Linked DNA regions of Coturnix japonica. The protein of the gene in region 1 interacts with the protein of each later gene in a pairwise test. Links are inferred from orthologs where the notes say so. Each region holds a gene or a part of one and is shown in the gene's direction. Other genes may lie near its edges. The genes, in order: L3MBTL3, PLEKHF2, TTC19, NGB, PRKAA2 and PLEKHF1.

What was found.
Region 2: the proteins of L3MBTL3 (region 1) and PLEKHF2 interact in binary tests that used the Homo sapiens proteins (3 or more experiments, as listed by UniProt). The two-hybrid records come from large-scale screens. The link is inferred for Coturnix japonica from reciprocal best matches to the Homo sapiens genes L3MBTL3 and PLEKHF2.
Region 3: the proteins of L3MBTL3 (region 1) and TTC19 interact in binary tests that used the Homo sapiens proteins (3 or more experiments, as listed by UniProt). The two-hybrid records come from large-scale screens. The link is inferred for Coturnix japonica from reciprocal best matches to the Homo sapiens genes L3MBTL3 and TTC19.
Region 4: the proteins of L3MBTL3 (region 1) and NGB interact in binary tests that used the Homo sapiens proteins (3 or more experiments, as listed by UniProt). The two-hybrid records come from large-scale screens. The link is inferred for Coturnix japonica from reciprocal best matches to the Homo sapiens genes L3MBTL3 and NGB.
Region 5: the proteins of L3MBTL3 (region 1) and PRKAA2 interact in binary tests that used the Homo sapiens proteins (3 or more experiments, as listed by UniProt). The two-hybrid records come from large-scale screens. The link is inferred for Coturnix japonica from reciprocal best matches to the Homo sapiens genes L3MBTL3 and PRKAA2.
Region 6: the proteins of L3MBTL3 (region 1) and PLEKHF1 interact in binary tests that used the Homo sapiens proteins (3 or more experiments, as listed by UniProt). The two-hybrid records come from large-scale screens. The link is inferred for Coturnix japonica from reciprocal best matches to the Homo sapiens genes L3MBTL3 and PLEKHF1.

Annotation. Positions count from the first base shown.
Region 1 is NC_029518.1:52,550,165-52,554,997, reverse strand, and holds the start of L3MBTL3 (lethal(3)malignant brain tumor-like protein 3), read left to right. Parts: upstream 1-1,535; 5' UTR 1,536-1,665; intron 1,666-2,995; exon of another isoform or gene 2,996-3,117; intron 3,118-3,431; exon of another isoform or gene 3,432-3,527; intron 3,528-4,633; exon of another isoform or gene 4,634-4,724; intron 4,725-4,816; exon of another isoform or gene 4,817-4,833. UniProt on the Homo sapiens protein: Is a negative regulator of Notch target genes expression, required for RBPJ-mediated transcriptional repression. It recruits KDM1A to Notch-responsive elements and promotes KDM1A-mediated H3K4me demethylation.
Region 2 is NC_029517.1:114,520,300-114,525,056, forward strand, and holds the start of PLEKHF2 (pleckstrin homology domain-containing family F member 2), read left to right. Parts: upstream 1-1,782; 5' UTR 1,783-1,914; intron 1,915-2,107; exon of another isoform or gene 2,108-2,238; intron 2,239-4,757. UniProt on the Homo sapiens protein: May play a role in early endosome fusion upstream of RAB5, hence regulating receptor trafficking and fluid-phase transport. Enhances cellular sensitivity to TNF-induced apoptosis.
Region 3 is NC_029534.1:5,220,367-5,225,185, forward strand, and holds the start of TTC19 (tetratricopeptide repeat protein 19, mitochondrial), read left to right. Parts: upstream 1-1,636; 5' UTR 1,637-1,661; coding exon 1,662-1,845; exon of another isoform or gene 1,846-1,904; coding exon 1,905-1,981; exon of another isoform or gene 1,982-2,026; intron 2,027-2,137; coding exon 2,138-2,248; intron 2,249-2,321; coding exon 2,322-2,360; intron 2,361-2,763; coding exon 2,764-2,820; intron 2,821-3,087; coding exon 3,088-3,149; intron 3,150-3,678; coding exon 3,679-3,773; intron 3,774-3,953; coding exon 3,954-4,108; intron 4,109-4,407; coding exon 4,408-4,570; intron 4,571-4,819. Other genes in the region: ZSWIM7 (zinc finger SWIM domain-containing protein 7), read right to left, coding at 969-1,044. UniProt on the Homo sapiens protein: Required for the preservation of the structural and functional integrity of mitochondrial respiratory complex III by allowing the physiological turnover of the Rieske protein UQCRFS1.
Region 4 is NC_029520.1:35,498,562-35,503,486, reverse strand, and holds the start of NGB (neuroglobin), read left to right. Parts: upstream 1-1,898; 5' UTR 1,899-2,008; coding exon 2,009-2,112; intron 2,113-2,368; coding exon 2,369-2,480; intron 2,481-3,357; coding exon 3,358-3,477; intron 3,478-4,144; coding exon 4,145-4,291; 3' UTR 4,292-4,314; exon of another isoform or gene 4,315-4,925. UniProt on the Homo sapiens protein: Monomeric globin with a bis-histidyl six-coordinate heme-iron atom through which it can bind dioxygen, carbon monoxide and nitric oxide.
Region 5 is NC_029523.1:23,050,451-23,054,668, forward strand, and holds part of PRKAA2 (5'-AMP-activated protein kinase catalytic subunit alpha-2), read left to right. Parts: intron 1-939; coding exon 940-1,441; intron 1,442-3,060; coding exon 3,061-3,187; intron 3,188-3,462; coding exon 3,463-3,701; 3' UTR 3,702-4,218. UniProt on the Homo sapiens protein: Catalytic subunit of AMP-activated protein kinase (AMPK), an energy sensor protein kinase that plays a key role in regulating cellular energy metabolism.
Region 6 is NC_029526.1:7,110,339-7,113,837, forward strand, and holds the end of PLEKHF1 (pleckstrin homology domain-containing family F member 1), read left to right. Parts: intron 1-511; 5' UTR 512-523; coding exon 524-1,345; 3' UTR 1,346-2,834; downstream 2,835-3,499. UniProt on the Homo sapiens protein: May induce apoptosis through the lysosomal-mitochondrial pathway. Translocates to the lysosome initiating the permeabilization of lysosomal membrane (LMP) and resulting in the release of CTSD and CTSL to the cytoplasm.

The DNA of each region.
Region 1 (4,833 bases):
GCACACAGGCACCATCCTGCGAACACACGTGATTTCAGTGTTACCATTTTCAGTAAATAGAAGCTCTCAGGATAGCATGGTAGAAGTCTAAGTCACACCTAAGTTACAAGCATGGACATAGATTTGATTCATAAATATTTCAATGTATGTTCTTATGTAAGTACATCAGTGAATGGAAGCCAATTCTTCCTGCCAGAGAAGGGCACTTCTATCCTTTGTCCAGTGCAAGGCTGCCCCAGTTGCTGGGATGCACACAGTATATACCCATCATAAATAGTGTATACTCATAATAGCAAAGAAAAGGTTTATTTGGTTTGGTATAAGCCACATTTTGGTTATTCTGACTTTGTAGGTAAGCATTTTTTTGTCATGTATTTATTTCTGTTGATAATTAATCCTATTATTTATTCCTGGTTATCATTATTCCTGTTTTAATAACTTGGGCCACAGTTGTCTCTGTAACTGTAGAAGGAAGCATATGTAAATTCAAGGGAAAGTCTGGACTTGATAATTACTGGGATAAATCAGAGGCTGAGGGCTATTTTAAAAGAGACGTAACAACATGCCAAACTACTAAAAATGTTTAATTCACTTTGCCAATCCTCGCCTTCAGAATATGGCCATCTTACAGATATCACGTGGTCTGAATAAAACATTTCTGGTAAGTATAATGACTGCATTCCATGTTGGTTTACACTTTGCCTGAAACTTTCTGTCTCTCTGTCTCTCCCTCTTTCTCTCATCTATTTATCTGTCCATATCTACATCTATCTATACTTATACCTATCTATGTATCTAAATGTTTTCAAGTGTCATATATACAACAGATTGCAATCCCCCTCCCTCCCTCTCACCCGTTAGTTAGGCCTCGCGTAGCTCTATTCAGTTTAATGTTGCTTTGCAGCCCTCCTTCTAGGTGAAGGAAGCCCACCCTGTCCGACCCCATAAACAAACAAAAAAACACCCACGGGCCTTCCGTTCGTAGCATTTTCTAAACAATGGCAAGGGACAGAAAATATCTCCTATTGTGAGCGCAGGGGGTGATGGAGGGCAGGTGGCACAGGTGAAACTACTTTCCATTTGCAGACCAGCTGCAGCGGGCTGAGGCCCAGCGCCGTAGCAGAGCGCAGGAGTGTGAATGGCCGCACACCCCCCGCCGGGTCCCGTGTGACATCCCGAGGCGAGCGGCTCGGCTCTGCGCTCGGACGGCAGGCAGCGACCCGTCACGCCTTTTGGCGAAAGGACGGGGGAAAAGACGGCGAGAAGACAAGAAAAAGGGAAAAAAAGGTTTAGCGCGTTATTTTCCAAAAGCCCAAAAATAGCAGCGCGCTGCCGCGCAAGCCTCCTTATTATTCCTCCGGCGTCGGCATGCAACCGGGGATGCCGCACCTCGCAGGGCGCCGTGCGCTCCGCCGCCGCCGACTTCAGCCGCCGCCGCTCGCTCTTCCACCCTCGCCCGCGCTGCCACCGCCGCGAGTGCGGCTCCGGCGCAGCGGCAGCGCGGGCGAGGGAGGAAGAACGAGCGGCGGCGGCGGCGGCGGCAGTTTCCCCTTTCCCCAGCCCTGGCTCGGCGGGCGCATGCTCACTTGTGCCCGCAGCCCTGGACCATATTTGTCAGGACCTACTCGAGAGCCGGAGAAAAAGAGAGAGAGAGAATTTGGGGTGGTAAGGAGCGGCGGGTCGCGAGCCGGAGCCGCCGGCCGCGGCCGGGGAACGGCGTCGGCGGCCGAAGGCCGGCGGCGGGGTCGGGTTCGGCCGTAGGTGAGGATGAAAGTTGGAGAGCGAGAGAAAGGCAGAGGCGCACCTCCTCGCCCTCCCTTACGAAACGCCGCCGGGGAAGGGAGGGGGCTTCTCCCCCCCACCCGCGCGGCGGGGATGGAAGTTCGCGCCGGGGAAAGTGGGCAAGTGACTCGCAAGTGGCGGGGGAGCGGCCGGGGCAGGGGGTGCCTCCCAGCGCCCCAAGTGTGTGAGTGAGAAAGAGGAACAAAAGAAAGAGAGAGAGAGGTGCCTGCTATTTCTTTTTCTCTCCCCAAACACATGACGGGAGTACGCGCATCGAGCCGTGCCGCGTATCTCGGCGCAGCCACGGGCACGCACGTATGTGCATGTGCATAGAGCTCCGTATGGGGGAGGGAGCCGCCGAAACGCGCCGGGGGGGCCTTTTTTAGGGGGGGAAGGGGCTCCGCGAGGAGGGGGAAGGGAAGGGGAGAGACATTTTGCGGACTTGCCCCACCGCCGAGCCGCCGCTCGGCTCCATTTAACGCCGCTCGCGGGGCACCGCGGGGACAAACGCGATGGGGCCGGGGGGGGGGGAGGGCGCGCGGGGCTGCGCGTCGGAGGGCGGGCGGCGGGGGGGGATCCTGCGCCGCGCTCCCCCCCCGGCCCGGCTCTTTGTTCGCGCACGCCGAAGACGGGGCGAGGTGCGGGCGCGGGGGGGCGAGGCGCGGGCGCGGGATGGGGGTGGGGGCGGTGCGAGAGCCCCGTTTTTTCGGTCGGAAGCGGCAGGCGGCGGCCGGGATGGACCGGTTGAATGTGCCGCGGGTTCCCGTGCGCGAAGGCCGCGCTCAGCGCGCAGCGGAGAGTTTGGCGTGCCCGTCGCTCCCGCACTTTGTGTGCCTGTGCGCGAGAGATATTTAAAATATAATCATCTCCCAATTTCCGCCATTTTGGGGAAAGTTTGCACACACACACACACACACACACACACACACCCGAAAAAAAAAAAAAAAAAAAGCTTCTTGCGATTTTTTATTTTTTTTTAAGAGGAGGAAAAAAAAAGTCTTCGGCTCCAGCGTTCCGCTCCCGCCGCTGCCGTGCGGTGCGCGCTCCCGGGGCCGCTGCGGCAGGCGGGGGGCGAGCGCGGGGCGGCCCCTGCCCGCTGCGGGCCGGCGGCTGGCACCCGCGGGCGGCGCCGGGGGTCCCGCGGGACGGCCCCGCGCTGCCGCGCACGTGTGTGCGCCCGGACGGGAGGGACGGGCGGGCGGCGAGCGGCTTCGCCCCGAGTTGCGCGCTCTCGGCCCGAGCGCCGCCGGGGGTGCGGCCCCGTCTCCCCCCGCCGCTCCGTCTCCGCAGCCGGTGCATTAACAACAGGATATAGGCACACTTGTTCTCGCTAACGTGCGTGTGAGGCGGCGTTTTCGCGACTGGGGGGAGGGATTTTTATTATTATTATTATTATTATTATCGCGATTATTATTTTGGGTGGGAGCGGCCGCCCGGAGCGCGAGGCCGGGGGGAGCCGGGGTGGGGGCCGGGAGCCGCCCCCATTTTGTGGCCGCTTCGTCGGAGCGGCCGCACGCGAGAGCGTGAGAGAAAAAGTTGGAGCGCGGGGCCGGGCTGCTGCGGGTGGGGGGCGACGCGGCGCTGCCCTCCGCGGGCAGGGGCACCCCTCCGTCGGGCGATCAGCGCGTCCAGATTGGCTGCGAGCGGCCGAGGAGCGAATCCCGCAGCCCCCTCGGGAAAGAGAGCGCGCCCCCTCCTCCTCCTCTTCCTCCTCCTCGCTGGGGGAGGGGAGGAGGGAGGAGAAGGTAAAATTTTCCCCTTCCACGCGGAGCCGGCCGCCCTTTCCCGGATCCCCGTCTCGGGGGGAGGGGGGGGCGGGAGTGAGGGGGGGTGGGGAAGGACCCGGTAAACAAGCGGAGTCCCTCTCCGGTTGTGCAACTTCCTCAGGAACCCTCGGCACCCAGTTCCTCTCCCACCCTCGCTCGCACCGCGCTCGCCCCCGCGCCGGCCGGGGGTCCGTCTCTTGCCGCGCGCTCCCGTCGCTCCGGGCCGGGGGGAAGGAGGGGGGAGAGAGAAAACGGCGGGGAGCGGCGGGAGAAGCGCGCTCCCTCCGCTCCAGCGCTGCCGGCTCGCGACCGTCGGAGCGGGCGGCCGCTTTGTCTCGTCGCTCCTGCCCGAGCCCCGGCGAAACGCGGACCCGAGCACTCCGGGTTTTTCTCCGCCAGAAAGTTTCGAGTGCGGCAAAACACGCCGCAAAACTGGCCAAGGAGGGACCTCTGGCGGTAGGCCGCGGGCAGCCGGCGGCCGCGCCCGGCGGGCCCCGCGTCGCTGCGCTCCGGCGGCGCGGCTCCAGGCCGAGCGCGGCGGGGTGCGGGCTCGGAGCGGCCCGGGCCGGCCCCACGCACCGCCGTCGGCCGCCCCGTTGTTCGCGGCGCTCGGAGGCGCTGAGTAACGCTTCCTGGAAACGCGGCCCCGCGGGATGCGTTGGGGAAGGCCGTGACGCGCGGATCCGTGCGGTGACCCGCGGGCAGCGGGACGGGCTGCGCGATCCGTGAGCTGACACGGAGCGAGAGCCGCCTTCTCATTGTTCCGTTCGTTTCCGAGAGGCGCCGGGCTGAGCGCTCGGCTTTTTTGTTCCTGCCCGCAGCGAGCGCTAACAATCAGGTGGAAAGTGTAAATACAACTCGAGACGCGAACGCTCGACTTCACGCCGCTTTCGGAACGGCTCGCGTTCACAATCAGAGCAGAACGTTCCTGCTGCGGCGTGAAGCCCCTTCGGGAAAGCGGTTCCTGCCCACAGAAGTTCAGCTGTTCCCGGCAGCTCCGGTGAACATCCGCACGAGCGGTGCCGGTGCCGGTGCGGTGCCGCCCGGGCCGCCCTCGCCGCGGGACCCCGCCGCTCCGCCGGTCCCAATGGACGCAGCGCGCCGGTGACGGCGGCTGCCGCAGCGCTCTCATTGGAGGGCGTTTGTTGTCAGCCGGGCAACTGTAGCGAACTTTGGGTTTGTTTGTTGCAGTGTATGGTTCTTATTAATTTCTTGAGTTTTTTCTCCGCTGTTGCTTTCAGTAGTACTGTTTTGGTTTTTTTTTTTTCTCTAGAAAATGGTGGCG
Region 2 (4,757 bases), on another chromosome or scaffold:
TGTGGTTATTTTATGATGAACTTGTTTTTCTTTTTCTTTAATGGCAAGAGCATAATTCTAATCCCACCTTGACCTGACTGAAGTTAGAATGCCTGCTGACCTGAATCCCCAGAGGATCAAGGTGTTCAGCAATGATTAACGCAGGTTTCCGTGCTTCATCCCTGGCTCTCTCCAGCCCATTAATTGGCTGTAGTGAGCTTGCCATGAAGTATTGATCAAAGGTTAGCGAGCAGAGTGGCAATTTTCAGCGTACAAACATTGCTGGCTCCTATAGAATGAACAGAAGTAGATGGGAGCAAAATTATAGATAATACATATTTTATTTTGAATTGACTCCTTCAATCATCAAATAATGAACTTTAAAAGAATAATTACATTTGCCTGTTGTTCTGAAGGTGAAAAAAAGGAATTAGAAGAATTAGATAAATGAGGGTGAGGAGTTATGGAGTCTCCTTCTCTAGATATATTCAGAACCAGCCTGGATGCCTCTCTGTGTGACCTGCTGTAGGGAACCTGCCTTAGCAGGAGGTTGGACTAGATGAGCTCCAGAGGTCCCTTCCCATCCCTGTGGTCCTGTGTGGATTGTTAGCAGTTGGTATCTCTTAGAGGAGTGTATTAACGGCAGCCTCTGTAACACTGAGGCCCACACCTCAATAAAGAAAGAAAATAAGAAATAATAATAATAATAAAAGACTCCTTAGAAGCTCAGTTCATGAGATTAGTAGGAAAATGTTCTATTTTTACATGGTTTTCCTCAGTCTCCACTAGCAGTCATTGCTGGGTACAGGGTGTGAAGTTAATGGGTGCCAAACAAGACCCCTTAAGCTCCTAAGATCCAAGAATGGGCAGATCTGGTTGGGGCATTATGGGACTCTTACAAAATTGTTATTTTCCCTTCTATTTTGTTGACTATATCAAAATGAATGAGGTGAGGAAGTGATAACAGTGAAAACTCCCAAGTTTTACGACAAATTCAATTGAAATTAGGAAATAGTTGCTACCACAGGAAAGCCCCACTGCTTCACTGGCTTTTTTTTTCCCCTTAGAAAATGGGGAAAAACGGTCACCCTGCCTCATTGCCCAACAGTTGGTTGCAGTGTGAAATGGGGAAAGCCAAACCCGCAGTGTTTCCTGCCAGTGAGAGTTTCCTTCAGCAGAGCCTGAGGCTGGTTTTCGATGCGGTCATTGCAGTGGAGCGGTGTCACAGCAGGCCCCGAGTCCCGTGTTGGAGCTGTTACTGCCTCGCTGTATTTATGAGTTCTGTGGTGTTTCGGGTACAGTTCGTACTGTCAGGCCGGGGTGCGTTTTTCCGAGCTGACTGACTGGCAGCTATTCAAACTCCAACAAGTCAGCGACTGCCTTCTGTGTGCTACAAAGCGTAGACACAGAGATTGATAAAAAAGAGCACGACAATCCTTAGCGTTCAACTCAAGGAAACGGCGCTTGAAGCGACAGACCGCTGACTCAAAGAATGGAAAGGCTCTTTCCAACAAGTTCCCACAGCGGGGTGATGTTTTCGAGCCCCCTGAATCACAGAATGACCCGGGTTGGAAGGGGATCATGTAGTTCCAACCCCCTGCCTGGCAGGGCCACCAAACATACACATTTACTAGATCAGGTTGCCCAGGGCCCCGTCCAACCTGGCCTTGAACACCTCCAAGGACGGGGCATCCACAGCCTCCCTTACCCCCACTGCACACGCCGACATCCCCCACCCCACTGCCTCCTTCTCACCCCTCAGCGCTTCCCGCCCGCCTGGCTCCGCCCAAGATGGCGGCGGTCCCGCCCCGTGCGGGCGGTGTCCCGGAGCCCGGCCCCGGCGGGTGCATGACCGCGGCCGAGCGGGGAGAGCGCGGCGGGGTCGGGGCGGCAGTTGGAGCGTGGAGCGTCGGGCGGGGCCGGCTGAGCAGCGCGGTGAGGGCAGCGCGGAACCGGTGTCTTCCCGCTTGGGGTTCTGCCGCCGGAGCGTGGGCGGGAGGCAGAGGCTGAAACTTTCCTGACGGAGCGTTTCCCTCTCTGGGGCTCCGGGCGCTCCGCCGCGGCCATGTTGGGAGCCGGGGGCTGCCCCGCGGGCGGAGGGGCGGCGCGGGGCCGGGAGCTGCCGCTGCTCGGCGGGAGGGCGCTGCGGGCGGCTGACGGGAAGCGAAGGGGCGGCGGCGGGAGCTTGTTTGTCCCGTCCGAAAGGAGTTGGGCTTTAACGGGGGGAAAAGCCCCGCAGCTGCCAGTATCGGGCGTTACGTAAGTGTGTGGAGACCTCCACCCGGTGCTCGTGGGCTCCAGGGGTGCGTGAGTTGGGCCCCAAATTGAGAAATAGTTAAAAAGCAGCAGCAGGAAGGAGGTGGAATTGCGGAGCTGCGTCTGTCAGCGCGTCGGTTGGACGTGCGTTTCTTAGGGGAGCTGCGATGGATGTGTGCTGCCCGGGCAGGCGGGCACGCTCGGCTCCTGAGCTGGAGCTGGCTGTGCAGCGGTGGCAGGGCGGTGTGTGCCGGCTGAGTGCCACAGTTGTCAGTGAGGCAGCAGCCCTCGGGACGGCCCGGCTTCGGGAGGCTGGTTCCGTACCGCCGAGCTCCGAGCTGTGCCGGCACGGGTTGCGGCCGGGCCAGCGGCTGGGGCGGGCCTGAAACCAAAGCCTGCAACCGGGGCGGATTTCAGAGCTGAGATTGTCGATTCCTCTTTCTTTCCCGGAATAAGGAGAACTTCAGCGCTCAGCTTTCGGTTCTGTGGTGTGTTTTGGATTGGTTGAGGCTCTTTGAAAGTAGGGAAGCGCTTAAAGGCTTAATGTCAGTGCGGAGACCCCACGGACTGCAGCCATCAGCGTGAGGGGAGGACGGGGATCTTCAGCACCGAAGGAGCTTTTTACCCCCCCTTTGAATTGTGTTGTGTAAATAACGTTGACTAATCCAGTGAGAAATCCCTGTGTAGCTGAATACAGGCTGGAGCAGCTGAGTTTTGTTCAAAGTATTTAAAACTTTGTGCAGCAAATACTCTGTGGCTCTGGGCAGCCTGGCCTGGTTGTTGGCAACCCTGCACATAGCAGGGGGGTGAAACTATATGATCACTGTCCTTTTCAACCCAGGTTATTCTGTGATTCTATGAAATACAGGGTTTGCTGTTGTACAACTTTGTGTTCGTGATTTAGTGGAGGACTTATTACGTTTGAAAGGGGAATGAAAGCTGCTTTGTAGGTGGGTGTGGTAAAACATACTTCCACCAAGCCATTATCTTGGCGTTGGCATAAACTATAAGCCCTGATGACAACTGCGTTAGCAAGTAGAGTCCTGCAAATTCCTACCCACGTCAGTAGTGCTGTTGCAGTGAATGGGTCTGCGTGCAGAAAGAGTCGTTTGACTGAGAGCTGCTGGACGAAGATTCTCCTTTTCCAAAAGGAAGCATCGTTGTGTGCAAGTGTTACTGAACAGAGCACTATTTTTCATGATGTTTTTACAGCCTGATATTTTACACAGTCAAAAATGCACTGATATGTTTGCTTTGGCTCCTCGATGTTACATAAATAGGTAGGAATGTTGCTACCATGGGTGTAATGATACTTTCCTCCTGCTTCTGTTGCAACAATGAATAATTTAAGGGTTTTGAAATCTATTTTCAAGTGGTGCTGTTTGTTTTGTTTTGTTTTTTTTTACCCCCCTTTGCGTGTTGGCATTTTACAGCAATACAGTGTTCAGAATGTTACATATTCAACATAGGAGCATTTAGGCTTTTTGTCTAAGTGGAAAAGAAGGGCAAACAGTTGAACTTTCAGGCTTTCAAACACAGTAACGCTTGCCCCAGCCCTGTTCCTGGCACATAACGTGGCACCATGCAAGCAATGAGCTCTGTGGGGCTGTGATGCAATGTGTCCTGGTGCTCAGCAGGGCAGTGGGCTGCCACCCCTCCTGTACAAGGGATGGCATTGTAATGGGTGCTCCAGTGCTCTACATGCTTTCCACAGAACTCGGAAGTGCATCGAGTGCATTTGACAAGCTGTCAGAGGCTGCTGAGTGTGTTTCCCAAGAAGGCCTTGTAGTTAAGTTGTTATGATTAAGGGATTCTTTCAGGAACTGCTTATGTGAGAGGACTGAATCCTCTGTTCTGCTTCGACTGACAGGCAGCCTGCCTCCCTGGAACTGGTTTATGGCCTGAAGCGTGCGGTAACTTTTTTCTTAAGTAAGCACTTCTATATAGCGTATAACATTGACGTGTGACGTGTGGAAGTGCCTCCGCGTGCGCCTCCAAAGGCAGTGATTGATGCTTACCACTGAAACAAGCTGATTTTGAAGAGAGGCTTGTGGAGTGGGTTTGGCGACACTTGAAGCTGCTGTAACTGGGTGGTGGGTTATGTTTTGTGCTAATGATGCTGCTCCTCTTCACAGAATCACAGAATGACCCGGGTTGGAAGGGACCTCAAGGATCATGTAGTTCCAACCCCCCTGCCTGGCAGGGCCACCAAACATACACCTTTACTAGATCAGGTTGCCCAGGGCCCCGTCCAACCTGGCCTTGAACACCTCCAAGGACGGGGCATCCACAACCTCCCTGGGCAGCCTGTTCCAGGGCCTAACCACTCTCCTAGTGAAGAATTTCCTCCTAACATCCAAATCAGTGTTTCTTCCTTGCTGAAGTTGATTGTATTGAACGCCAAGCTGTAAGGGAAGGAGGTGTGTAGAATCCACACGAACCATTCTGTGATAATGGAAGCTGGCAGAGCAGCTGGGACAGCAAAAAAGCATCTCTCTGCTCTCACTGTGCTGCTGGGCAAA
Region 3 (4,819 bases), on another chromosome or scaffold:
AAACTGCTTTAGAAAGTCACAAGTACATTTGGGATCTACTCTAACCTGATAGGAGCCATACAAGTACAATAAAGAGCAACTGAGGTGACCACTCTGTTTTCATACCAAGTCTTTGTCCTTTCTGCACTCCAAAGCAGTACACAGCCAGGCTTCCCTGAATGTTGATTTGGTTGGTTTTAGCACAGCTAAATCACTCCTCACACAGACACTTTCCTTAGGAAGAACCATTTTGCACTTTTACCCAGCAACAAAGATCAATCTTCTTCCAGCAGACATTACAGAACTGATTCAGTAATCCAGAACACAAGGAAGGGAACAGTTCTTAACTGGCTGCTAGAATAGACCAAGGTGTTGGCTTGTGCCTTCTTTGTGCAACATGAAAGCTGCTCTTTGCCAGGCGATGGCCCATATTGTACCCTCTACTGGTCTGATGAAACACCATCATTTTTAGGAAGATTTCCCTTTCAGTTCTGACTTTGACTCCATAAAAAGGAGCACTGTGGTAGGAATGACAAAAAAAAACAAACCATGGGAGGATGGAAATGATCATCTATCACACTACAAGCTCTGGGCAAGCAGAATTTCCCATGGTGGAAAACATCCAACTGAGTGTTATTTTTTAAAGGGGTGCTGCTCCTCATTATCTCTACTTCAGAGCCCTTTGTGTTGGTTCCAGGGTGGGACACAAAAGCTGGGAACACCCCATATGTGACAGCAATGGCCACTGCTGTGTGACAGAGAACAAAGGACACAGATAGGGCAGAGCACCAACACTGCAACATGGGGCCCTGGGCAACCTGGTTTAGTAAATGTGTATGTTTGGTGGACCTGCTAGGCAGGGGGTTGGAACTACATGATCCTTGAGGTCCCTTCCAACCCGGGTCATTCTATGATCCTGTGCTATGGCAGGTCTGACAGCACCCAGACTGCCCATCAGTGCTGGGATGGCTGTGCTGCTCTTTACGTACCGTGGGAGGTCTCCTGAAAAGCCTTCCTGATCTCTTTCAGAAGCTCTTGTGCCACCGCTGGCAAGGTGCTGTCCATGTCACAGGCACTGCCCTCGGGACTGGAAGTGAGACAGAAGAGATCAGGGAGGTGCTGGGAAACCACTGAGGTCAGGGCAGATGTTGTAAGTCAGGAATGTGACCGAGCAGCGCTTCATCTCAGCCTGACACGAGGCCAAGGAAAGGGCATCCCCAGCAGAACCCTGAGCTGTGCTCTGTGCATGTTCTCAGCACAAAGGGCTCCTCGAGGTGACAGAGGCCTTTCGGACGGGCCTCACGCATAAACACACTCCGTGGGAGGGAAGAAGGATAACGGATAGGGAGAGGCCCACGCCTGGGGCAGCCCGGCGCGGGGCCAAGCCATTCCAGGCAGAGGCGGCCTGGAGCAGTCCCGGCTGCCCCCGGGGAGCACGGGGTTGTCTGAGGGGAAGCGGGCAGATGGCGGATCCCAGGAGCCGCGCTATGGCCGCCGCAACGGAGCCATGCGGGGCGGCCTGGCCTGGTCTGGGCCTGCTTTAGGCCTGGGCCTGGTCTGGGCCTGGTTTAGGCCTACCTGCGGCCTCGTTGCCATAGGAACAAGAGCGCCCCGCTCCGGCTACGCAGCACCCCTAGTCACGTGATGAGCGCGCGCTCTTAAAGGGCCCGCTCCCATTAACGATGCTGGCCGCCGCTGTGCCGCGGGCGCTGTCCCGTTTAACCCGGCGCTGCCCCGCGGGGATCGCGCGACCCCGGCCCGCCTGGCACGGAGAGACCCGACGGCAGCGGGGCGGCAGCGGGACGGGGTCTGCCGGGCGGCGGTGGGTTCAACAGGGCGCCGGGCTCACGCTGGGATTCCTCGGAGGTGAGGCCAGGCGGGATGCGGGCGGGCCGGGCCGGGCGGCGGTCACCTCCGGCCCGCAGCTTTCTCCTTGTCTCCCAGGGACGACGAGCAGGACGGCGGGGAGGACGCCATTATTGTCCTGCTGAAGAAAGCCAAGGTGAGGCGCTGAGAGGGACGGAAATGGAGGCCAAGCGGTGTCTTCTTTTCTCCCGCCGGGTGGGCCCGGAGCCCTGCAGGGAAGGGCCGGGTAAAAAGGGTTCCGGCCGCTCTGTGCCCGCACCGTGACCGCTCTGTGCCCGCTCTGTGCCCGCAGCTCAGCGTCATGAAGGGCGAACTGAGTGAGGCCGAGCGGCTGCTGCACCGAGCGCTGCACCTGGCGCACCAGGCCGACAACAGGAGAGCCATCATCTACACGTACAGCACGGTAACGAGACGGGTTGGAGAGCGGTGGGAGCCCAGAAGCAATGCCGAGCTCCAGCGCTGTGTGTCTTTTCCAGATGGCAAACGTGGCCTTCATGCAGGGACAGCTGGACAACGTGAGTAGGGATGGCAGCTGTTGGTTTTGCTTCTGGAGGGGCTGACATGATATTGAGCCTCGGGGCTGCGGTATTGCAGAGCTGCTGAGTACAAAGCTGGGTGTTGAGCTCCAACATCCACCAGGATTCTTTCTTACTATTGAATGCCACAATCCTTGGCCGCAGGAGAACCTAGGGAAGTATTAAAGAGCCCCAGATGTGATAAGATTGTGGGCGTCCTGCAGTAAGAACCTCAGCAGCTGGCAGTAGCTCCGGGCTCTGGTTGGCCTTTCACTTCTCACCACTCTTGCTAATAACTGTGGCAGTACAGATGGCCAGAGTTTGAGGCAGGTTTCTCACAGCAGTAGAGATGGTTTATCATCATCATCATCCTCCAATGTCCTCTTCAACATTCTCATTTCAGGCAGAAAAGCTCTACAAAGCAACGATGAGCTACTTGCTTGCAGGAGACACGAAGGAGGTGGGTTCTTTTGGTGAAGGTTTTCAACCAGGAGTATGAAGTGAGGTGCTCAATCCCTCGCTCTGTTTGTTGTGATGCTCTGCCTCCTACCGGTCCCTGGCAGCACTAGCTGTGAGCCTGCCAGCTTTAAAGGGATTTCTTTAGTGGAAAACTGCTCTGGAAACAACAGGATGAGCACATTGAAAGTCTAAACTTGTTCTCTGGCAAAGTAATGGATCTACGGGGAAGATGCAAAAGGAGTAACAGTTGCGTTGTGTGTCCTGGCAGGATGACAATGCAATCCTTGAGATGTCCCTCAAGCTGGCCAGTATCTATGCTGCTCAGAAACAGTGAGTTCTCTGCTAAAGGCATGTTTTGCTTTAATCTCAGCTACACGGTGGTAATGGTGGCCAAGCAGAGGCTCGTGCCTCTAAGAACAGAGTGTCTGTGGAAGCTTTGATGTGATAAGATCCCATCAGTGTATGAAAGTTCTCACTGGCATGAGGTTGCATCGTGCAGCACAGTGATTGCTATAAGGACCCGCCCAGCTTAGGGCAGGAGTAGCTGTAGAGGCCACACTAAACAAGACATGCTTTTGAATGCAGTTGGTGTTTGGTAATTTGTAGTTTCTTTTCTTCACAAAAGAGAGCATTGATGTGGGCAGCCTCTGTTGGCCTTATTATTTTATTTCTTTTTGATGGGGCTCCTTCCTCCCTCTTGGTTCCCTTTGCACATGGGTCAGAAGGGCATAGAACATAATCGAGGAGCAAGCATTGAAGGCAAGAATGGTCTGGTGGAAGAGTAAGGGATAAGGAAGGTATTCACATCCATCCCTCTAGGGATGGAAGAAGCCTTGCACTGCTGACTTGTACATTGCAGGCATAAATTAGCCCTGGCTGGCTTTGAGTTCTGCATCCTGACCTTAGAGGAGAAGATCGCCAAGCAAAAGGACTTGCCTGAGGATGTCTTGTCAGGTGAGAGTACCTCATCTGCCAAAGGCTTCTTTCTTGTTTGTTTTCCGTTTCTCTGTCCTTGCTTAAGCACCACCTTTATGCCAGTCCCTTGTCTTCATACTGCTTGGTTTTCCAGCTCTCACAGGATGTGAACTCATGTTTCATATTGCTGTGTTCATTTCCACTCCCTTCTATTTGCAGCTGAAGAAAAAGCCAACACTCGTCTCTTGCTGGGGATGAGCCTGGACTCCTACGCTCGCTATTTGCAAGACATCAACCAGCTCCCAGTGGCCCAGAAAATGTATGAGAAGGCTCTGCAGATATCAAGTGACGTTCAGGGAGAGACTCATCCACAGGTAATGTGTACAATGGGAGTTAGACTAGTAAGTAAAGAAAGGCATAACAGTTATGAGGGATCAAACAGGGGAAGGCAGTAGCCTTAAGAGCAGTTTTGCTGGCATTGAATGTAGACAGTACTGTTTTCCTGACAGTAACAGTGAGCATTTATCATGTTAATATACAGGTAAGGCACTTCCTTACTAAAAGCTCCACTATGAAACACTTTCATTAGTGTAATATATGAGTGGGGTGCTGCTGTTGGCTCAAAGTTCTACTCGAGTTCTGCTCTGAGGATTCCTTTTCTGTCCTGCTGCAGACTGTGGTCCTCATGAATGACTTGGCAACTGTATTGGATGCTCAAGGACACTATGATGAGGCATACTCTCGTGTGAAGAGGGCAGCTGAACTGGCAAAGGTGACACAACACCCTGAGGAACACATGGTGCTGAATAACCTGGCAGCAATTCTGATGCACAAAAGTAAGTAAATGAATGTCCAGCCAGTGTCTGTCAATTTTGTGCATTCCTGTTTTTAGCTTAATTAGTGGGCCTGCTGACTTGGGGTAGGCAACCCGTGTTGCATTCAAACCAGTCAGCTGCTGAAAGGTCTGGTCCAAGGTGAACCAGAATGTCACCCAGAGGGCCCTTGTTTGCCTTGTCCTGTACGCACAGTAGCTGTTTGAAAAAGGACAGTTTCAGTGAGACTTTGGTGCTGAAGCAGCACCTTGT
Region 4 (4,925 bases), on another chromosome or scaffold:
TCTGTGGCAGGGAGGGAGAGTGAGCTGCCATTTCCCATTGCCATTGTGGTCATACATTTAGTGCTGCCACAGGAGATATCCCTTCCACTAGGAACTATCACCCTGGGGTGTGAGCTGTACAGAGCCTTCATGGACCCAGGGAAAGGTGTCCTATGTCCCAGCCAAACCTGATGCAGCAGCCCCGTGCTGTCTCCCTATTTCACCATGCTCATCTCCTGCCTTGTACTCCCTGTGCCTTTCTCGCTCACACTCATTGGCTCATCCCTCAACTCCATCAGGCTGCCTTTGGTGCTTCCCTTCTGTGTGGGAACTGCTGAGTCCTGGCCTGAACCACTGATTGAACACCTGGGGAAAGGACCCAGTCAGCCCTGGGAGCACAGGTGAAGGCAATTCAGCTGTGTAGAAGGGGTGGAGCCTGGCTGCACCTCTCCTAGACTGCATTTCAGGGCTGATCCTCATTGGGGAAGGATCTTTTTCTGGAAATCCTTCCTTGGTGTAGTTTTCCTCTGTGAACCTGGAATCTTCTGATACAGGTGAGGAATCTTCTTCTCTTCCTGTATAGCACCTTTCTGTTGTGCTGGTCCTTCCATCATCACACCACTGTTGCAATGCTTTTGCCATTGTATTGGCCTGCCTAATTGCTATACCAGCAGTGACCTTCGAAGCAGAATTGAGGTCCTTTCTTCTGGCTCCTCAGCCAGAGAGCTGGAGCCTCCTCAAGAAGTTCAGTTCCCTTGTGAGTTTGCTGGACTCAAGAGTATGGATCCAGAGTAGAGCTTTCCATTCCCAGCACTGCATCCTCAAGGCTGCAGGGCTCCAGGAGCCCATGTGAGCAGGGCAGGGGTTTGGGTGCTGCCAGAGCTGCCTCCTGTGGCCACACTGGTAGGCAGCCTCATGGATAGAAAGAGCCCTGGGGGTTGCAGCTGAGCTGAGGCAAGGTGCTGCACCTCCTGCCAAGGATGGATGGTGATGTTCTGAAGCAGAAAGTCTCCAATCTACTCACAGTGAGTCAAGGTGCATCTGGGTTGGGGTTCAGACCTCTATCTGCACTACCTATTAGAAGAAATCAGCAGTAGGGTATGGGATGAGATTGGCACAGTTATTCCAGAGCAGAGCAAGGTGTGACAGTGACACTGGTGCTTCTGTGGTGCTTGCATCCTTCTGCAACTCCTGTCCATGGGGCTGCTCTGCTTTCCTGGGTTCTGCCATTCTCCTTGAGCCCTTGCTTGCTTATACTCTTATAAGTTTCCTTTTTGCTAACTTGTGCTAAATTAAACACACTGTTCACCTTTATCTGAGAAGTAAAGAGACGTTCATTGCATCATGGAAACATTTGAGTTGGAGGAGATTCTAAAAGGCCATCTAGCACAACTCTGCATTGAACAGGGATACCTACAGCTGACCAGTTTGCTCAGAGTCTCATCCAGCCTCTCCTTGACCGTCTCCAGAGATGCAGCAGCAATGACATCTTTGGGCAACCTGTTCTGTATCCTTCTCTACCATTACTGTAAAAAACTTTTTCCTTATACCCAAACTAAATGTCCCCTTTTAGTTTGAAACCATTTCCCCTTGTCCTATCACCACAGACCCTGCTGAACAGTCTGTCCCCCTCTTTCTTATATCCCCCTTTAGCTGCTGATAGGCTGCTCTCAGGTCTTCCCGGAGAAGATCTTTGTCTTCTCCAAAGAGAAGTTGGGAGTCCTGAACGTGGCTGACAAGGCTGCTTTCCGCTACGCGTACCAACACCTTCACTGTGTTCAGCAGTTAATTACCCTGAAATGACGGAGACTCTTAGCGGCGCTGGGCAGGCATCTGCCCACGGGGACAGCGGTAGCCGAGGGGCAGCTCGGCGCGGTACCGCCCGGCCGGGGGGGTGCGGGGGGCGGAGGGCGGGCGGCTCCACTCCGTTTCGGGCTTCGCTTCGTTGCCGACCCCGCTGCGTGCGGAGCGGACCTTGGGCGGCGGGGACAGGGGCAGGTTCCCCGGGAGGGCTCTTCCCCGCCCCGCCATGGAAAGCGGGATGCTGTCTCGCACGCAGCAGGCGCTGATCCGGGAGAGCTGGCGGCGGGTGAGCTGCAGCCCTGTGCAGAACGGCGTCGTCCTCTTCTCCAGGTGAGCGGGGGTCGGTGAGCAGCGCGGCTCCGCACCCGGGGCGTTCAGCGGAGCCCCGGGATGGCGAGCGCTGCGGGGCTGCCCCGCGCGGTGCCCCGCGTTGCGGCCGGGCAGGAGCTCGCGGAGCCGCGCCGAACTCTGCCGAGCGCATCTCAACGTCTTCCCTCTACGGGCTGTGACGCGGCACGGCGGGTGAGCGGGACTCCGGATGGAGCCGACGAAGAGAGAAGATGAGGCCTCTCTCCCGCCGTTGCAGGTTGTTCGATCTGGACCCTGACCTGTTGCCCCTTTTCCAGTACAACTGCAAGCGGTTCGCCAGCCCCCAGGAGTGCCTGGCCGCTCCCGAGTTCCTGGATCACATCCGGAAGGTGAGAGGGGTCGGGGCGGTCCGCGGGTGGGTTCGGGACTGCAGGGTGTTGGGGGCAGTGCACGGGAAGGCTGTTATGCCCCCGGGATGGGGAGAAAGCGGTACTGAGGCTGCCTCGCAGGAGCTCACGCACAGGAAGAATTGGGAACAACTCGGCACAGCCCTTTGGTGAGCCCGGAGGAGCAGCCCTGCTGGGTCAGAGCGCAACCTCTGCTGCCTTCGTAACCCCATAACCTCCATCTTCAAACCAGCCTTTATAGCCTCCATCTTTAAAGCAGTGGAACGCCTGCTAGCCTGGCCTCGTTCCTTGTGAGAGGCTCATTTCCTCTGATTGCTGCAGGCTTTCTGCTGTTTCCCTGCCACTGATTATTGGACAAGCAATGTCCATCTTTATTTCTGCTCTTACTGCCTTAAGCTGAAAACGCTCTTTGCTCTAATTGGAGATAATTTCCCTCTTGAAATTACAGAGTACAATTCTATCACCTCTTGCCTTTGCTGGGCTAACTGTGCCTTGGCTTTAATCTCTCCTAACTTGCTCTGTCTGCTCCCTTCATCCTTCATTAACTCTGTCTTGCTTCCACGTGACTCTTCATCCCTCTGGGAGCCCATTGCCATTTGTGCATTGCCAGACCACATCTCCTGGCTGGGCTATCTCCCCCTCCCCCATCAAAATACTTTGGCCTACCTTAGAATTGGTTCCTACACTGTTGCACCATCCTGGCAACTTCCAGAGGTTCCACTCTCTCCTCCAGGATGGGAGGCTAACAGCACTGCTTGAAGCTCGTGTGCTGGGAAGTGGTGGTGGCTGCTGGGCTGGGCAGGGTGGAGCAGAGGTGCTGGCTTTGTACTAATGCAGTGCAGCTGCTGTGCTCCCCCAGGTGATGCTGGTGATTGATGCAGCTGTCAGCCACCTGGAGGACTTGTCCTGCCTGGAAGAATATCTCTGCAACCTCGGCAAGAAGCATCAGGCAGTCGGTGTGAAGGTTGAGTCCTTCTCGGTGAGGTGTATTCTCCCATCCCACTATGGCTGTTTGTGCAACCCTTGATGGTCCCAATCCTCCCATGCCCGGTACTGGGTGCAGCTGGCTGGGGAGAAGGCTGATGGCTCAGCACAGCCCTGAGCTGCTGGTGATGTTGGCTTGGTCAGGGAAACCCCTGTGCTCCCCTTGTTTCCTGCCTGGAGGGTGAGGGCAGAGGGGAGCAAAGTGTTTCTGAGGCTGTTTGGTCTGTGGAAGAGGAGGCTCTTATTGCTCTCTACAGCTCCCTGAAATGGGAGTTGTGGCAAGGCAGAGGTCAACCTCATCTGCCAGGTTACAGTGATAGGATAAGAGGGACTGGCCTCATATTGTGCCAGGGGAGGCACAATTGGTTGGGCACTGGAATTGGGCCCACTGCAGGTGGGCAGTGGTGGAGTCACTGTCCCTGGCAGTGTTCAAGAAGCATGTAGGTGTCACGCTTAGGGTTATGTTGGTATTGATGTCTGGACTAGGTGATCTTAGTGGTCTTTTCTAACCTTAATGATTCTGTGATTCTATGATTTCCCATCTGGAGAGGGTGATGGCTTGGTGTGCTGCTGTCTCTCACCCCAAGTGGTGCAGGAATGAGGGAAGGAGTCTGCCTGTTGTCCCCCAGCACTGAGTTGACTATTCCCTGTTTGGATTGCAGACAGTTGGCGAGTCTTTGCTGTACATGCTGGAGAAGTGCCTGGGTGCTGCCTTCAGCCCGGATGTGAAGGAGGCCTGGATCAAACTCTACAGTGCAGTGGTGAAAGCCATGCAGGGTGGCTGGGAGGTCCTCCCAGAGGGAGACTAGCCCCAGACCTGACCCTGCACAGGGTGAGCTCTAGTCCTCTCTGCCTCTCTCCACCTCATTCTGTCTCTGCACACCAGCCCACCTCCTCCAGCCACATGTGCCAGGTTCTCTTTGTGATCTCACCTTGCTTTGACACCGCCATGTCCCTGCTGTTCCTGGTGGCCACAGGGTATTTCCCTGTAGCCCAGAGTGTCCAGCACAGCACCACCACCCAGTGTCAGGTTCCTGTGGGCCAGCATCTGTAGCTGTGCTTTGGCCTTCTACTGGCTCCCTGCCCTCCTTTTGCTGCCCATCCCCATAAGATGACCACTGGTGATGACCTCTCAAGCCCCACAGCGAGCTCTCATCCTGCTCTGCTACTTACCTGGCATCACCCTGGGCAGTGATCTTGTGCTCCTCTGCCCTGTTGAGAGCCTTTTCCTGTGTGAGGCTGGTTGCAGTGTAGTGTGTTCCCTGGGAGCATTTCCAGTGGTGGGAGATGGCATTAATGCCAAGGTAAGGCTGCTTTCAGTGATATAGGCTGCTGCCCAGAAGGGTTCCTGTTGACTTGGCCAGTCAATTTTATTGAGAGAGCTGGCTGAAGTGCACCAGCAGCAGTGCTTATTTGATGTTTTGTATTAAGAAGAATAAGGCA
Region 5 (4,218 bases), on another chromosome or scaffold:
AAAAGTGTTGTCATTGCACTTGCTGTCTATTCGATAAAAAAGGAAGTGGAACACAAGAATTACTAGCTAAAATGTTAGTCACAGTTTAAAATGTCAGCAAATGTCCTTAAATGAGGCATTTCTTCTGTAGTCAATGGCTGTACTACCCATGAAAGGGAACAATTGGGCACTTAAGTAGGCATTTGTGCCTTCAGATATCGTGACATGTTTGTAACTGGCAACAGGGCTTTGAATGTTTCACAAACTGAGTAATTTTTTAAATATTTATCTTGTGAAAGTGGAGTCCCATATGTATTTTGTGGAATTTATAGTAGCCATTACTATAACATGCTTTAGCAGAGGGTTGGGCTGGATCATCTCCAGAGCTCCCTTCCAACTTCTATGGTTCTGTGATTACATGTAGCTGGTGTGCTAAGCATATGCATAAACATCACAAGTACTTACAGGACATAATGGATTGTTAATACTTTTGCAATTGATGGCCTGAATTTAACCATTCAAATAGGATCTGAACTATAAATGCCTTTTAAACTTCACGAGTCCTGAAGAGTAGGAGATTTAATTGTATGTTAGAGCAACAGCATGCATGCCAAGATTACCATTGATAGGTGGCACCTATAGCTGAGGCTTGCACTGGCATTTACCTGCTTAATTACCATTGACTTCATTGTGAACTGGTGGGAGTAGTGGGCCTGGCTAGCTTTGAAATATAAGAAGGACATAGGGATATTAGAAAGCATCCAAAGGAAGGCTGCAAAGATGGTGAAGGGTCTGGGGGGAAAGGTGTATGCAGAGTGTCTGAGGCCCTGTAGTTTGTTCAGCTCAGAGCAGAGAAGGCTGAGGGAAGGCCTTGTGGTGGCTACAGCTCCACAAAGGATATTCCATGATTCCTCTATGAAGTGGTGTGGCTGATGTTGGCCCCTCTCTGCCTTTCCCAAGGGAACACGAGTGGTTTAAGGAGGAGCTGCCCAGCTACCTCTTCCCAGAGGACCCTTCCTACGATGCCACTGTCATTGATGATGACGCAGTTCGGGAGGTCTGCGAGAAGTTTGAGTGCACTGAGTCAGAAGTGATGAACAGTCTGTACAGCGGCGACCCCCAGGACCAACTAGCGGTTGCCTACCACCTTGTCATCGACAACCGGAGGATCATGAACCAAGCCAGTGAATTCTACCTGGCCTCCAGTCCCCCAACTGGCTCCTTTATGGATGACTCCATGCACATCCCTCCTGGTGTGAAGCCTCACCCCGAGCGGATGCCACCCTTGATAGCAGACAGCCCCAAGGCACGCTGCCCTTTGGATGCACTCAACACCACTAAGCCCAAACCTCTGACTGTCAAAAAGGCCAAGTGGCACCTGGGGATCCGCAGCCAGAGCAAACCCTATGACATTATGGCCGAGGTGTACAGAGCTATGAAGCAGTTGGATTTTGAGTGGAAGGTAGGAAATGTGCTTTGGGGAGGTTTAAAATGTTTTTTTTATTATTATTATTGTAACTTGAGTTGATTGGCGAGGTCAATCTATATATGGTCGCAGCCTCAGCTGTTTCCAAACAAATGCCCACAAGATGTTCCGTATTTGTGCCATTTATTTGTGGCATGAATAAGAGTGGTTTTTTTGTTGTTTTTTTTTTTTCCCCTGAATGCCCTAAGCCTCTGTCTGGAAAGATAATTCTGTCTTGTTTAGCTGCAGGGATAAGAGGAGCTGGTCACATTTCTAATTTTAGTGGCTAATTCCCTGCGAGGTCAACTCGAGTGCTCCCAAGAAAAGCATCTCCCTTTATTTCTGCTTGGGTCATAGTAGTTGCATGTCCTGAAATGGCACGATACATGTCTCCTTGTTTCTACTTATGTGGTGGCTTCACACCGGTGGGCAGCTAAGCTCTACCTTGCTGCTCTCTCAGTCTCCATCATCAAAAGAACTAGGGAGAAAATTCGATGAGAAAACCTCATGGACCGAGATAAGGACAGGGAGATCACTCACCAATTACTGTCACAGGTAAAGCTGTCTCAGCTCTTCTCTAAAACTAAGTGCAGTCATAGGTATGAGCTCTCCTGGCCTTTCACAGCAGCCTTGTGCAAGCATCAGGATCAAGAAAAGGAGAATTTCTGCTCAGATATTCATCACTGGAGTCAATATCCTCCTTACTCCACGTCCAGAGTGTTTTTGCTGTGTGGATGTCTTCAGCCCTTGGTTAATGCCCAAACTTTGTGCCTGTGCATCTTTGAAACCTCGTATGTCCTCCTTGTTATGTATTTAAAGATAAGTAGCACCCAGAACCTGATTTCATGGCACCATCGAAGAGATGGACTGTCTCCAGATACACGTGCCTACAAGAGCCAGACATTTGTTGGCTGAATGGTTTTACAGAGAGCTAACAAACCTAACGTATTTCTGGTATGACTTCACAGACTGATTCAACCAAGTGCCTTTATGTAGGAGCTTATTTTATACGAGGAGGTTTCACAGCAATCTTTCACATCCTAAGAATAACTTCAGGCGTGACTCTTAGCTTTGGCATCAGTGCCACCGTTTCATAAATATAGCACAGAGAAAAGATCTCATTGCGAATGAGATGCAGCAGATTGTGGGGTGGGAAGTGGTGAGAGAAAAAGTGTAGCACAGCTCAAGACTGATTGACGAACACTTTGTTTAGTTGTGCTGATGGGAGAGGCTATGATTCCCCACCATCCATCCTGCCTGGCTTTCCCAAGCACGGTCCTGTTATATGGGCCTGGGAGTCGTTTCTGGCTCTTTTGGCCATTACTGCCATTGAGGGAACAACAGTGTTGGTTTGGTGCCTGAAGGAGAGGCTGCAACAGCTTCATCTGCCAGCAGGGCTGGTGAATCAGAGCCCCAAGAATTGTTCTCCAAACACAACTGTAAGAGGAAATAGGAGAGGAAGCCATTTGCTTAATTTTTAAAGAATTGTTCTTTTTAAAAACTGTGTTTTTTCTTTCTCTGTCAAAAGGTGTCTTGCTAGTCTTTAAAATAAAAGGAAAGCAATGTTGTTCTTCTTGCCTTGAATGGTATTCCCTAAAGCTGGTTGCCCATTGCAGGTGGTGAACTCCTACCACCTCAGAGTGCGTCGGAAGAACCCAGTGACAGGCAACTATGTGAAAATGAGTCTGCAGCTGTACCAGGTGGACAACCGCAGCTACCTCCTGGACTTCAAAAGCATTGATGGTAAGCAGTAATGAAACAGCAAGCTTGGAAGTTTTGAGGAAAAATAATATTTCTTCAGTTCCTGAATGCTTTTGTAGCATGTGATGCTGTTTCAAGTCACTTAGATTCGTAATCATAGAATATCCCAAGTTGGAAGGAACCCACATGGATCATTGAGTCCGACTCCTAAATCCCTTCTGATCCATTTGTCTCCACTACTGTTAGCAGTTCCTTAGTAAAGGGATACCAAACTAATGCTGTTATAATTATTTCTTGCTTTTTCTATTGCCTTGAAGATGAGGTGATGGAGCAGAGGTCTGGCTCATCCACCCCACAGCGCTCGTGCTCAGCTGCTGGCTTGCACCGGCCAAGACTGAGCATTGATGCTGCAGCAGCCACTGAGTGCCAGTCACTGATGGGGTCCCTGAGTGGCTCCTTCGTGGGCAGCATCTCCTCAGTCCCCCCACGCCTGGGCAGCCACACCATGGACTTCTTCGAGATGTGTGCCAGCCTGATCATGGCTCTGGCTCGCTGAGCCAGGCACCGAACTCCCAGCACATGGCATTGCACTGTGAGGACCAGCTCCAACATGGCTGTTCTGTTGTTCTTCTGCTTCCTTCCTTCTCCTCACCACTCCACAGCCTGCAGCGCAGAACCAGTTCCTCTGCTGAAAGATCCCAAGTGCACTCAAAGGATACAGCCCCTCAAACAAGGCATTGAGGAAATCAGGAATTACTTCGTTTCACTCGTTAGACCAGAGTGAAATATATGTGAGCTTTTTTATCCTGAACCCAATGGGATACGTGGGCAGGGCTGTAAAGTAGCAAACACATCATTGACTTTTGGTAGAGAACTCCCTCCTGGTTGATCCTGAATTTACAGAGCCATGGGCAAGCATTTCTTTTCACAACACAAATTGGTTCAGGTTGTACCTCCCATACAGCCCGAAGCAGGGGGAGGAAAGGGCTGAACCTCTGGCAATGCTTTCACCCTAAATCAAGCAGCTGCTGCATGTAACATCCCACCCTCTGTTCTTTTTCCCTTACTAAAGA
Region 6 (3,499 bases), on another chromosome or scaffold:
TGGGAGAATGGCTCCAGAGACCACGGATGTTCTCCCTGTGCTGCATCCAGCCCATCCTCAGCCAGCTCACAGCACTAGCACGGCGCCTGTGCAGCTGTGCTCATTGCTGGCAGGGACTGAAGGGCCTGGCCCTGGTCCCCACCAGCTGTCAGAGTGCAAGAACTCCCCATATGTGTCAAGTATTTCAGGCCAGTCTGCTTTCTTTAGTATGGGAATGCAGTTATACTGGTAAAAAACATTGTTGTGATGGAAAAGAGGGCTCTGTATTAGAGCTTCCATTGCTGTGGATGGAAACACCCCAATATGGACCAGGTTGTTGCAAAGTGGGGTCAGAAACTTTGAAAAACAATTCTAAAAGGTCATAAACTAATGTGAAGAGTGTAAAAGAGATTATTCTTAACCTCCACTGACATGAGAAGCTTCTGATTTGCACGCAGGCTTGCTGATCAGCCTTGTCCTGGCAGTCTGCTGTAAGTGCAGCTTCACCACTTCTTTATTTTCTTCTCTTCAGGGTGAGCTGGAGATGGTGGATCACCTCGCAAACACTGAGATCAACAGCCAGCGCATTGCTGCTGTGGAACACTGCTTTGGGGCTTCTGGACAACCCTTAGCTGTGCCAGGAAGAGTCCTTTTGGGAGAAGGGATTTTAACCAAAGAATGCCGCAAGAAACCAAAGCCTCGCATATTCTTCCTGTTCAACGACATCCTCGTGTACGGGAGCATAGTGATTAACAAAAGGAAGTACAATTCCCAGCACATCATTCCCCTTGAAGATGTCACTTTGGAGACGCTGCCGGACACCTTGCAGATGAAGAACCGCTGGATGATCAAAACCTCCAAGAAATCCTTTGTGGTTTCTGCAGCCTCCCTGACGGAGCGGAAGGAGTGGATCAGCCATCTGGAGGAGTGCATCAGGCACCTGCTGACAAAGACGGGCAGGCAGCCCTCCACAGAGCACGCGGCCCCCTGGATCCCTGACAAGGCGACAGACATCTGCATGCGCTGCACGCAGACCAAGTTCTCCACGCTCACTCGAAGGCACCACTGCCGCAAGTGTGGCTTTGTGGTGTGCGGAGACTGCTCCAGGCAGAGGTTTTTGATGCCCAGGCTGTCCCCCAAGCCCCTGAGGGTCTGCAACCTGTGCTACAGGCAGCTGCTGGCGGAACAGAAGAAGGAAGAGGAGGCTGACGGTCAGCAGCCGGAGCAGTACCGTGGCAACATCCCAGGCTACGAACCCTCCAGTGGTGATGACAGTGACAAGTCTGATGATTACAAAGTTGACCAGTGGCCAGCAGACACAGAGTTTTATAACTCAGAAGTATCTTGGTCATCTTTCCATAGCTGACCTCCTTGAGAACCGGTGGTGTTTAAATATTGGGTAGCCAATTTCTGGCCTCCAATGCGTGTCCTTCTCAGTGTGTCCTGTGGAGGCCATGCTTGGGAAGGTGGATATTGGCCCCTGTTTGTGCTGTCTGTGAGGAAAGCAAAGGTCAGGGACTGCTGTGAGTCATTCTGAGAATGTCTCATATATGCAAGCAGAGAGTCACAGCTTAGAGAAAAGCACGGACTAGAGATCAGTCTTGATCCAAGTGAGTTCACCCATCTGTGCCTTAGTCTTCCTGTCTGCAAAAAAGGAGAAATAATACTCTTGGGAGAAAAAGGAGCTGGCAATCTTTGGCTGAAATATGTTTGTCTGCTCGTGCTGAATTCCTCCTTCAGAGGTGACAGGGCTTTCAGATGGGCACTGCAGAAAACTGGTGCTTTTCCTTCCCGTGAGGCATTCTCTCTGCAGAGAACTTCTAGGGCTGGCTCTTTTCACAAGTATTACATCTACTTCAGAGATTGTCATTGCAGCTGTGCAAACCTGTCTCTCCTCGGTGTGTGGTGAGATAGGTACGGACTTTGACTTCTACACCAGGAATTCTGAACTTTGGAAACACTAAGGGAATGGCACTGTGAATGCATATGAGGCTTATCAAAGGGCTGGGGCTCTTATATGGAAAGAAATCATCATATCAGATATCTGTGATATCAGCAAGGTAGTGGGGGTGGATGGGAAGAGAGACAGGTACATTTATACAAAGGAGAGAAGGAAAAGCTTTACTGCAATTGACTCAACTGATGCGCAGAGCCCCAGATTTCAAAACCAGGCATTTTCACCAGGTTGCTAGAGAGATGATGACCTCAAGCCTATCAGGTAAAAGAGTCGCCCGGGGAAGACTTTTAGCAAGTCTTAATTTGGGGTATTTTTCTAGAATTCTTAAAATCACAGAGGTTCAGCATTTTGATTCTCACTCCCTTCCTGAAAAAGACATCAAGGAATTGAACACTCTTGTGCTCACTCACTTCTATCAGTCGCACAAGTTCAAAATTAAGGTCCTTAATGCATCTTCAGGATTGGAGCCCAATGAAATTAATTTGAGATGAACTTTAAAGTCCAAAATAAGTTCAAATATTAGAACAAACAGTTTATTTCTATCATAATGTAGCGCTGGAGTAAATATGCTGGAAATTAGACAACAGCAATTATATTGCAGCAGACGTTTCCACAAACTCAGTTAATAATTTTAGTATATTTTTGTATGGTGTATTTTATTTCCTGGGAAAGGAATGTGGCTGAGAATACACCCTCATCATTATAAAGCATTTCCTTACCAGTGTCTGGTCTAATTATGGCATTGGATGCCATGTGGTCAGATTTAGATTTTTCTTAAATTTAATCTCAGAATAATTATTCTTTCTTTCTTTTGTAAACTGCCACTGTCCAATCAATTTGTATTACTTGACTGTGTGGGAATAAAGATATGGCCACTAGGAAGAAGCCAGAAAAATATGTCAGTGAAGTGTGTTGTTGTTTTACACAAGCCTTAAATAATTGAGACAGATGCTGTGATTCAGGCATGGCCAACCAGCCTGAAATCCAGCAACTCTCCAGCCATGAGATGAACGTTCTGGTCTTGTATTTACTACCAGAAGGTGAGTATTTCTGAGTGAGTATTGTGAGTGAGAAGGTGAGTACTGTCAAACCTGATTCTTCCTTTCTGTTTATACCCTTTTGTCATCTGTCCGAGTTTTCCCAATTCTTTTGCAATTCCCTGTGGTAGTCCATATTAATTGGAATGGGATTTTTCCGGTGTGGCCACAGCTTGGAGTGGGTCAACAAACCTTCTGACCTAAACAGATGTTTTTTAAAGTAGTAAGTACACCAAGTTCTGTTTTTTTTGCTATCCCTCTTCAAGTTTAGTTCATAATTCTCAGCAGCAGTGATTGTTTTTATAATGCCTCCCACCCACCAGAAGGGTGTATATGCTATGCAAACAGAAAATGACCTTAAAAATAAACAGCCCTTAGAACAGTTCACAAGCCAAAAATAGCACAGTTGTTGAATCAGTGTGCATAACTTAAGTTCCAGTTCTGTACTCCATGGGCAAAACTCTCAGTTCTCTTCCCAGCAATTGGCTTCAGAAATATATCCCAGTTTTGAACCTATTCCTCAGTC